Saccharomyces cerevisiae S288C: one gene and its partner. The protein of the gene in region 1 interacts with the protein of each later gene in a pairwise test. Each region holds a gene or a part of one and is shown in the gene's direction. Other genes may lie near its edges.

Region 1 (5,631 bases):
TGCATCATAGCCAAAAATCGATAAATGCATTAACGCTGTTACCTCCAGGTGATTGCTGTCTTTATGCATTAACGCGCCAATCTTATTCCCTTAAAACATTACGCCGGCAAAACGCTTAATCGCATATCCCAGTTGGCCCGAAAGAGAATGCACATATACAAATATATATGTAAAGGGAAATACCTTGTGACTACACCTATGCCTAAGTTTCAGTATCTGAACTAGGATAATTTCGATTATAACTCTAACATTTTTTACGTTTTCTCCATATTTCGAATTGTTCCTTCTTCAATCAAAATAATAAAAAAAAAAAATCACAAAAATGACTATAGTATTTTGAGCCCAACATGACTGCGAAATTGCTATTAACAATGATTAGTCAGTAGTATTGAATAACTTAGAATTTAAAACTACCTTATACAAGATGGGCATATAAAGGACATGCCAAATGGACATATTAAATACGCTCGATGTACCAGAACATCCAGGAACTTACCATAGAAAAATATGTAACGACTTATAAACTTTAAATAAATTAGAGATTCAATGAATCTCTAATTTTTTCCGCCCGCCTATTGAACTTTTACTTTGTCATTAATCTATTCTGAAATAGGTACAGAGCGACGCCAGTGTAAACATATGTGTGATGGACATCAGCATTCAATGTATATCTTATCACACCAGTTTATCCAAAGATAGATGCAGTTTTGAAATTGGTTACTTAGAATATTTCTACTACATTTCGATAACAAATATAACTATTTTGAATTTAAAAGTTGAGTATCCAAAAATTTTAGAAATACATACAATTACTTCCCAATTACTTCCCAAATATTCTCCCCCCTGGTTTGATATCATAAAAGCACCTTATGGCAACAAGATTCCCGGGATAGTAATGCTATTTTAATGTATATCTATTTCTCGAATACTTGTATCTTTACTCCACTACCCCTATGCAAGAAGATAAGCGATAGTTTTTGTTCCTTCCTCTTCCTACTCTGTTAATTAACTGAAAATTATTTATATTGAAAAGGTACTTGTAGCAAATTAGACAAGGAATTCTCCTGGTATAAAGTTAGAGAAACAGAAATATGAAACGGCCACCCCAGGTATGAAATATTATCTTAAGAAGAGCCATGAACACACATGAATAGATTCTTGAGACATGCTTAGGGTAACAAAGACTGTAACGCCTTGTTGCAATACTGCTTTATTCAAATTTTTAAATTGTACGGAATTGTGGTAAGGAGAATGTGCAAATAACTTAGCATGAAACGGTGCTATAGTTGAATCATTGTATGAGGTAACATCACTTCAACGAAAAGAAGAATAAAATTGACCTGCACATGGAGAAAGCGTAATATATAAAAAATGTTTACAATTTTGGCGCACTATATGGGAGAACAGCTGCTGGATAATATTATGCCCTTACTTCATTTCACCATATCCGTTTACAGTTCAAATCTCGCCGTCGAGCCATAAATTCTCAAAATTCCTTTGCAAATATTTTGCTTACCTGTAACCGGCAGCTTACATTCTTCCGTCATAATTTCTCAGACGGATGACATAAACCATTTTTTCAGAATCCTCGATAACATAATCGATCAAAACAGTAATAAACATTCTCTTGCACAAAATGGACTTTGGCAGCAAATCCTGAAATATTGTGGAGTATTGCCAGAGGTAAAAGCAACGTTGAACAAATTATGACACTAGACCTCTTAGGCATAAAGATGACATCATCTAGGTACTCGTAAAGATCCTAACCACAGATTCCACCTTAAAAGACGACAATAGTAACTTTGTCCTTGATCTGGGTTACTAAATCAGCGATATGATCATTAAAGTGAATATCCCCTTCTTAAAATGTACCAAATATCTTATACGTTTGCAGTTTTTCTTTTTCTTTTTCTTTATTTCTTTGGTAAGGACTAGGTAATTATTTCCGTATTTGGCTCCTTTGGCGCTTAAAAAATCTTGTACGCAAATTTCCACAAGATATTGCGTGACAATTACTATTACTGAAGTTGAACTTGTTTCATGTCTCCGCCTGTGTTAACTCCGTTTTGCTTAACTCCGTCTCGTATTACAGTAAATTCATGATGTGCCTATGAATATGCAGCTAGCCTGCTGCAGGCAAAATTATTTTTAGCTTTGTGCGCTACAGTGGTAGTAACTTAAAACTTAAAAGCTAAAATGCAAAAACAGTAGAGTGCGGGGTATGCTTTTCTTTTGAACGTGCACTGCGCAGAGGCACAATTTAGCAAAGAAGTCAGGCAAGGTAGATGATGTAAACAAACGAGGACTTGTACTGCGCATCTTGAACCTTTCAATATCATAAGTGCAATCAGCTAAAGGTTTGATTTTCCGAATGCTCTGCAAAAAAGTTAAACATGGTTATATAACTCAAGTATGATAACTCCAGTGTTGGCCTGTAATCACCAACTTTCAAACGTATAAAGAAAGTAAGTAATTCATTGTTTGCTTCAGGTTTAGTCTTATTACTATCCATAGAAGTAAAACTATTGATATTATTGACAGAAAAGGAGGAAAGGAAACTAAAGGAAAAAAATGGCAAGCGAACAGTCCTCACCAGAAATTAATGCAGATAATCTAAACAGTAGTGCAGCTGACGTTCATGTACAGCCACCCGGAGAGAAAGAATGGTCAGACGGGTTTTATGACAAAGAAGTCATTAATGGAAATACGCCAGACGCACCGAAGAGAGGCTTTTTAGGTTACCTTATTATCTACTTACTATGCTATCCTGTATCCTTTGGCGGTTTTTTACCTGGTTGGGATAGTGGTATTACTGCAGGCTTCATCAATATGGATAACTTTAAAATGAATTTTGGTTCTTACAAGCACAGTACTGGTGAGTATTATTTGAGCAACGTGCGTATGGGTCTTCTCGTGGCCATGTTCAGTGTAGGATGTTCCATTGGCGGTGTTGCTTTTGCGAGACTTGCTGATACTTTAGGTAGAAGGCTAGCAATTGTAATCGTGGTTTTGGTATATATGGTTGGTGCAATTATTCAGATCAGTTCGAATCACAAATGGTACCAATACTTTGTCGGTAAGATCATCTACGGTCTTGGTGCTGGTGGCTGTTCGGTGTTGTGTCCAATGCTTTTATCTGAAATAGCCCCCACAGATTTGAGAGGTGGACTTGTCTCATTGTACCAACTTAACATGACCTTCGGTATTTTCTTGGGTTATTGTAGCGTTTATGGAACAAGGAAGTATAGTAATACTGCGCAATGGAGGATTCCTGTGGGACTATGCTTTCTGTGGGCTCTAATTATCATCGTTGGCATGTTATTAGTTCCAGAGTCCCCAAGATATCTGATTGAATGTGAGAGACATGAAGAGGCCTGTGTCTCCATCGCCAAGATCAACAAGGTTTCACCAGAGGATCCATGGGTACTCAAACAGGCTGATGAAATCAACGCCGGTGTCCTTGCCCAAAGAGAACTAGGGGAAGCCTCATGGAAAGAACTTTTCTCCGTCAAAACAAAAGTCCTTCAACGTTTGATCACAGGTATTCTTGTGCAAACCTTTTTGCAACTTACTGGTGAAAACTACTTCTTCTTCTACGGAACTACCATTTTCAAATCAGTTGGGCTTACTGATGGGTTTGAGACTTCGATCGTCCTAGGTACAGTGAATTTCTTCTCCACTATTATTGCTGTTATGGTCGTAGACAAAATAGGCCGTCGTAAATGTCTGTTATTCGGAGCGGCTTCAATGATGGCTTGTATGGTCATATTTGCAAGTATCGGGGTAAAATGTCTTTACCCTCATGGCCAGGATGGTCCATCCTCGAAAGGTGCAGGTAATGCCATGATTGTGTTCACATGCTTCTATATATTCTGCTTTGCAACGACATGGGCCCCTGTTGCTTATATTGTGGTTGCCGAGTCATTCCCTTCGAAGGTCAAATCTAAAGCAATGTCAATTTCGACTGCATTCAACTGGTTATGGCAATTCTTGATTGGTTTTTTCACACCATTCATTACTGGGTCTATCCACTTCTATTATGGTTATGTGTTCGTAGGTTGTTTGGTTGCTATGTTTTTGTACGTTTTCTTCTTTTTACCAGAAACAATTGGTCTATCTTTGGAGGAAATCCAGTTACTATATGAAGAAGGTATAAAACCATGGAAATCTGCATCTTGGGTACCACCCTCAAGGAGAGGAGCTTCTTCCAGGGAAACTGAGGCTAAGAAGAAAAGCTGGAAAGAAGTTTTGAAGTTCCCAAAGAGTTTTAATTGATCAATATGCGCGCTTGATAAACATGCTAAGAGATAAATTCTTGAAAAAAAATAGGGCCTACTGTAAAACGAAGTGACACGTAATTTCAAATTTAATCAACAAAAAACTACGAGTTTCTTTGCAAACTCCCTTTTTCGGACTACTAGTACTATATAAAATAACGAGTTATTTAGTGAAAGAAAGCGTTTGGTTAAGGCAACATTGTACGAAGTTCTGTTTCTTTAAGGCAAAGCAGAGTATAAAAAGTAGGATGCTTATGGAGTGAAAACGGAGTGGTGATGAAGATGGGGAAGTCAACATAGGTCCACTTGAGTGCTTATGGAAGATCCTTAAAAATGCATTTCCAGGAACGTAACACTGTACCATTCCTCTAAATAAAGTGTATACAATAATATAGAAATATAGATTCTTCCCAAATATTCAGTTGTTACTATAAAGGGAATATTTGAGCTCGTTATTAGCGTGGCCGCACAAACAACCATCATATTAGAAGAGATAACTTTGTTTCAACTCGGGGGGGCAAACTTTCTCATGCTTCGTTAACTTGGCAAATACAACAAGCATACTTTTTGCGGTGAAAACATTTTGAGGCATGTTTCCACACAACATAATAGCGAATGGAGTAAGATTTTTTTTGTAATACAGTAAAAAGACCTCATATAGGTACCCGTACAAAGTCTCTGACCTCTCTGGGTGACCTGGGTCATTAGTAGTTCAAGGAGCATCTGCCACTAAAAGATTTGTGACCTAACTGTGGTAGTAACCGTTAAAGACACGGTATTGAAACAATGGGTTCAAAACAGTCGAGGGTTTTAGCATTTAAGTCGGCATATGTCCATTTCTATCCTTTTTCCAAGTCTATTGAGTTTCTTTATCTTTTTACTTATTTCCTTTTTGAAAGGTCTTACGACAAAGTTCAAAGCTTGATGAATTGTCTATTACTTTATTTGCTAAATTGAAACTCTGGATGAGTACCAATTCTTCTTTTCATTTTGCGATAATTGACATTATGATTTTTCAACTAATTAACATGATATTGTACATAATTTTTTAATATCAAAGCGCTACGTCCACTGAAACTATAGAACCGTTCATCTGTCGAATCAACATCTCTACAATTAGTACGAAAGCTTAGTTTATCAATTTTTTGTGAAAACTTTGACTAATGACGTATTATTGTGGTGTGCATTACGACCAAAAGGCGGGCTAACAATTCCAAGGAAAAAAGCTGGTGTAAACCTGACTGTTTGCCACGGCTTTTCTTACTACTAAATCGGTAGCAGGCATGAAGGAATCGTGAATGGTGTGACCTGAGACAAGGAGAGGCAGGCATGAAGGCAAACAAATTACGGGGGA
Region 2 (4,940 bases), on another chromosome or scaffold:
ACTAGTAATTAAAAAGCTTTAGTTTAACCCGTAGTTCGGGATACACTTCGGGCATAACGTACGTTTATTATAAATTTTTATATCTCTTGCGTACCATGTATATTCCAGAACAGTGAATACACTTTTCTAATTCATTTATGCTACTTTCATATCCTCCATTAAAGCGGGAGCTACCGTTGAAAAGGCATAATAATTGAAGTTTCGAGTGGGTTAGTTACACTAGGTGAAGGATCGTTTGCCTCCATATGGTCAAGCCATTCACGGACATTGATAATAGCTGGGACAATTCTGGTTTCATAAAAGGTTTCATTCATCCAGATTACAGATGCATTCAAATAATAGTCGCCAAATACTGATACCTCATCAAAATGAAAATATGTTTCTAACGGAACTGTATTAGACCATGCGCTCAGTTAGCTGGAGTCGCGTTGGTTAACAAATTAACTAAATTCACCATTACTTTACTTAAAGACCTATCACCACAAAGGAAATGGCGATTCTACAACAGGACCAGCTTCACTGTTTTTACCGTTGATTTAAAGATCACCTTTTGACTATTTTATATGCCAATTCAGAAACCGTTATAATAGAAGTTTTCTACTACAAAATTTACAGGATGTTGTAGCTTGATTGCATAATATTTTTTTAAAACGGATAACCACCAACCCTCGTCAGTGACTTCCCATTATGAAAATTTTCTCTTCTAATCCTTTTTGGTACCCTTTTTCCTATCATGCGCCTCGAAACAACTTCCATAGTACGTGCCTGCTACTGTGAGTAGTTTACTGCCGCAGTCAAACACTATACTGATTCAGCATCCATCAGTAAGTGCGCGCTAAAACGACAACTTTTTCGTACCTTTACAAGTAAGGAGTGGTTAAGGTGTATAGCTCATACTAGATATTAAACTTCGGAGAAAAGTCCCTGTTTCAATGACAAATATGAGTTGCACAATAGAATTTTTATATCTATGATTACGCTTGGTAGGATGAAACTCTTAAATTCCGTTATAAGTTTTATAAATCGCCGTAATTGCAAAAATACAGGGTGATGCGTATAAGTCTCATAAAAATCAAATCATTCCCTCTATTGCAACCATATCAAATTTTGATGATGATTATTTTACAATTTTCATTGCCATGGATGAAAATAAACGCTGATATCTTTATAATTAACCCGGAATGGAAATTGTGCACAGTACATCAATGGCGTTTCGAGTATTAAGACCTGTGATTTAGAGCCAATTAGCCAAGTAAAGCGACATTTCCTTTCTATGTTTGGCATCTTTTTTTTTTGGCCTTAAAACAGTGTTTCTATAAAATTAAGGGCCAACTCTTACAATAGTAATGAGATTAATAAGGCCCAAAGAATATTTTGGCCATTTCTTTTTCGTACAACCATATAGTTTTCTCAAGTAGCGACGAAAGAGAGATAACTGAAACAAAATGTCATGGAAGAAGTGCTTATATTAAAAAATCTATGTCGGAAATATTTCTATAGGGAAAAGTATACTAAAATCTTACTCGAGCTTTGAAATGAACAAGCCTAAACCGCCCAATTCCAAGATCTTTAATATACTATAACTTGAAAGTCATACCTGTTATATCACTCCAGAGGTTATTGTGGGAGCATATTTAATGCTTTGTGGGTAAGCTTGATAAACTGTAGTTCTACCACTTTTCCCAGGATACTGATTATGGTAAAAGTTCTTATTTGTCTTACGACTTAGATTTAGCACTCACATTTGTCATCATATGTTGAAAAATCAAGCTGGAATTTATTGGTGGATCTTTCATCTCCATTTATACTTTTTACTTGTTTTTCTCCAAGCAAAAAGATTTCACGTTGTTCGGGAGGTAAATATGAAGTAGGAGAGCAGTCAGGTAGAGTGGTTATCCCATCAGCCAGAACCTGTCCGTAAACAGGTTGTGGACTACAGTATGTGTGTTTTTTTCTTTCTAATTACTCAATTTGGATATTTTGGTGACTATAAAGACCTCTCGTAAATTTCTGAAAATATGCTTCGGTTCGAATCTGTGGTCTGCAGTGCAGCGTGTTGGTATTTTACCGACAGTTTTAGCGAAATATGTATAGATCTGTCACGCTTGCAACATCGCGACAGGTCGATATACTAAAATTACAGCATGAATTTCTGATCTATAATCACACTGTTGCAGTTTCCAGAGAGTCAATCATATTAAGTCCTCAGTTTGAATCAATGTTGGCTTTGTTCTTCTGGAGAGGAATCAGCTCGTTATATGTTTGTCTTTTTCTCTGCTCGAGAGTCATCGCGACATTCCACACCCCGCGTTTTACGTGCACAGAATCTTTCGTAGAAGGGAGCATTTGACATCCTGTCAGCCATATGCAATGAGTATGCCACAAGTTCATGATAGTGTTGACTATAGAATATAAAAAAAAGGTGGGGTCATCTGTAATCGTTGTTTGTAATTCTTAGAGGCCTGTTCTTGGAATTATTATGCAAAGATTACCATCACAAAATCTAACACAAATAGAGATACAGGTCTTGTAAAGCCATTACCTAGCTATGAAAAACTTATCTTTTCTCATAAACAGAAGAAAGGAAAATACAAGTGACTCGAATGTATACCCAGGAAAGGCTAAGTCGCATGAACCCAGCTGGATAGAAATGGATGATCAAACTAAGAAGGACGGCTTAGATATTGTTCATGTTGAGTTCAGTCCGGATACAAGAGCGCCAAGCGATAGCAATAAAGTAATAACAGAGATATTTGACGCTACTGAGGATGCCAAGGAGGCAGACGAAAGTGAAAGAGGAATGCCACTTGCGACAGCATTGAATACATATCCCAAGGCAGCAGCTTGGTCACTATTGGTCTCTACAACTTTAATCATGGAAGGGTACGACACAGCTATTCTTGGAGCTTTCTACGCCTTGCCTATTTTTCAGAGAAAGTTTGGCTCACAAAATGACAAAACTGGAGAATGGGAAATTTCAGCGTCATGGCAAATCGGGCTGACCTTATGTTATATGGCAGGTGAAATTGTGGGGCTACAGCTAACGGGGCCCTCCGTGGATCTTGTTGGAAATCGTTACACATTGATTATTGCATTGTTTTTTTTAGCTGCCTTCACTTTTATACTGTACTTTTGCAATAGTTTAGGCATGATTGCTGTGGGACAAGCATTGTGCGGGATGCCATGGGGTTGTTTTCAGTGTTTGACGGTGTCTTACGCTTCTGAAATATGCCCATTGGCTCTGAGATATTACCTTACAACCTATTCAAACTTGTGCTGGTTATTTGGACAACTTTTTGCAGCTGGAATCATGAAAAATTCTCAAAAAAAATATGCGGATTCAGAATTAGGATATAAACTACCATTTGCCCTACAGTGGATTTTGCCAGTTCCTTTAGCACTGGGAATTTTTTTTGCACCTGAATCTCCATGGTGGCTAGTTAAAAAAGGAAGGTTTGATGAGGCAAGGAGATCACTTAGAAGAACTTTAAGCGGCAAGGGACCTGAAAAAGAAATACTAGTAACTCTGGAGGTGGACAAAATAAAAGTGACTATAGATAAGGAAAAGAGACTCACAAGTAAAGAAGGCTCCTATAGTGATTGTTTTGAAGACAAGATTAATCGAAGAAGAACGAGAATTACTTGTCTCTGCTGGGCTGGTCAAGCCACTTGTGGTTCAATACTAATAGGTTATTCAACTTACTTTTACGAAAAGGCTGGCGTTAGTACTGAAATGTCCTTCACTTTTAGTATTATTCAATACTGTCTCGGTATTTGTGCTACATTTCTATCTTGGTGGGCGTCAAAGTATTTTGGTAGATATGACCTTTACGCTTTTGGACTAGCCTTCCAAACCATTGTTTTTTTCATTATTGGCGGTTTGGGGTGCTCAAGTACGCACGGTTCCAAAATGGGAAGTGGTTCTCTTTTAATGGCTGTAGCATTTTTTTACAATTTAGGAATTGCCCCGGTCGTTTTTTGCCTAGTCTCTGAAATGCCATCTTCAAGACTAAGAACGAAAACAATCATTCTAGCACGTAACACTTATAATGTGGTCAGTATCATATGTAGCGTTCTCATCTTATACCAACTGAACTCTAAGAAGTGGAACTGGGGCGCTAAGTCAGGCTTTTTCTGGGGTGTCTTATGCTTTTGTACTTTAATCTGGGCTGTGGTTGACCTACCAGAAACTGCCGGAAAGACTTTCGTGGAAATAAATGAGTTATTTAAACTTGGAGTTTCTGCAAGAAAGTTCAAATCGACGAAAGTAGATCCGTTTGTTGTCAAAACCCCCCCTAAAGACGTCTCTCATAACGACCCCAAGGGAGATATCGAAGCTTCCATTGCAGAGGAATAGCAATGTATCCCATCACTTATGAGCTAATGAACATTTATCGACACAGGTAAATAGGTAACTATGGTATTTACTCTACATGTTACGGAGTATAATACACGTAGATTTGTTTCTTCCTCATATTCCCATGACATGTCTCAGTAATTGAACTCAAAGTAACATTTAGCTTTCTTCTTGATCATTGCGTTTGGAAATGTATAGTTAGAGAAAAGATTCTTTCTCATCCGAGTATGGCGCGTGAAGAAAATGAAGATGGAGTTGTCGAAACAAATGGTCATCGACATTAGTTTAATTGTCATAGTAACAGTCTGGGCACTCACTTCGTACATCCCTTATACATTTAAGTGCAATTTTACCTATTCTAAAAATAGAAAAAATCTCGAATGAGCAGTTCTGGCAGTACTGAAACTGAGTTAAAAATCTATCAACTGGAAGTAATGCGGTAGTTTTATATATGAGCAATATATGCCGTCAAATTATATGTACAGTAGCTACCAGAGCGGTTATTATATTGTTCTTAATCAATAATAAACAAATCAGAGTATATTTCATAATTTCCTCTTACATTTTTAAGAAAAAAGGGTAA

Evidence for each region. Proteins that work in one complex are often made in the same cells at the same time.
Region 2: the proteins of HXT15 (region 1) and MPH3 interact in a protein complementation assay, tested with the Saccharomyces cerevisiae proteins (one large-scale study listed by BioGRID).

What each region holds. Positions count from the first base shown.
Region 1 is NC_001136.10:10,301-15,931, reverse strand, and holds HXT15 (hexose transporter HXT15), read left to right. Parts: upstream 1-2,571; coding exon 2,572-4,275; downstream 4,276-5,631. UniProt on the Saccharomyces cerevisiae protein: Probable glucose transporter.
Region 2 is NC_001142.9:737,425-742,364, reverse strand, and holds MPH3 (alpha-glucoside permease), read left to right. Parts: upstream 1-2,548; coding exon 2,549-4,357; downstream 4,358-4,940. UniProt on the Saccharomyces cerevisiae protein: High-affinity uptake of maltose and maltotriose. Also transports alpha-methylglucoside, glucose and turanose but not melezitose or trehalose.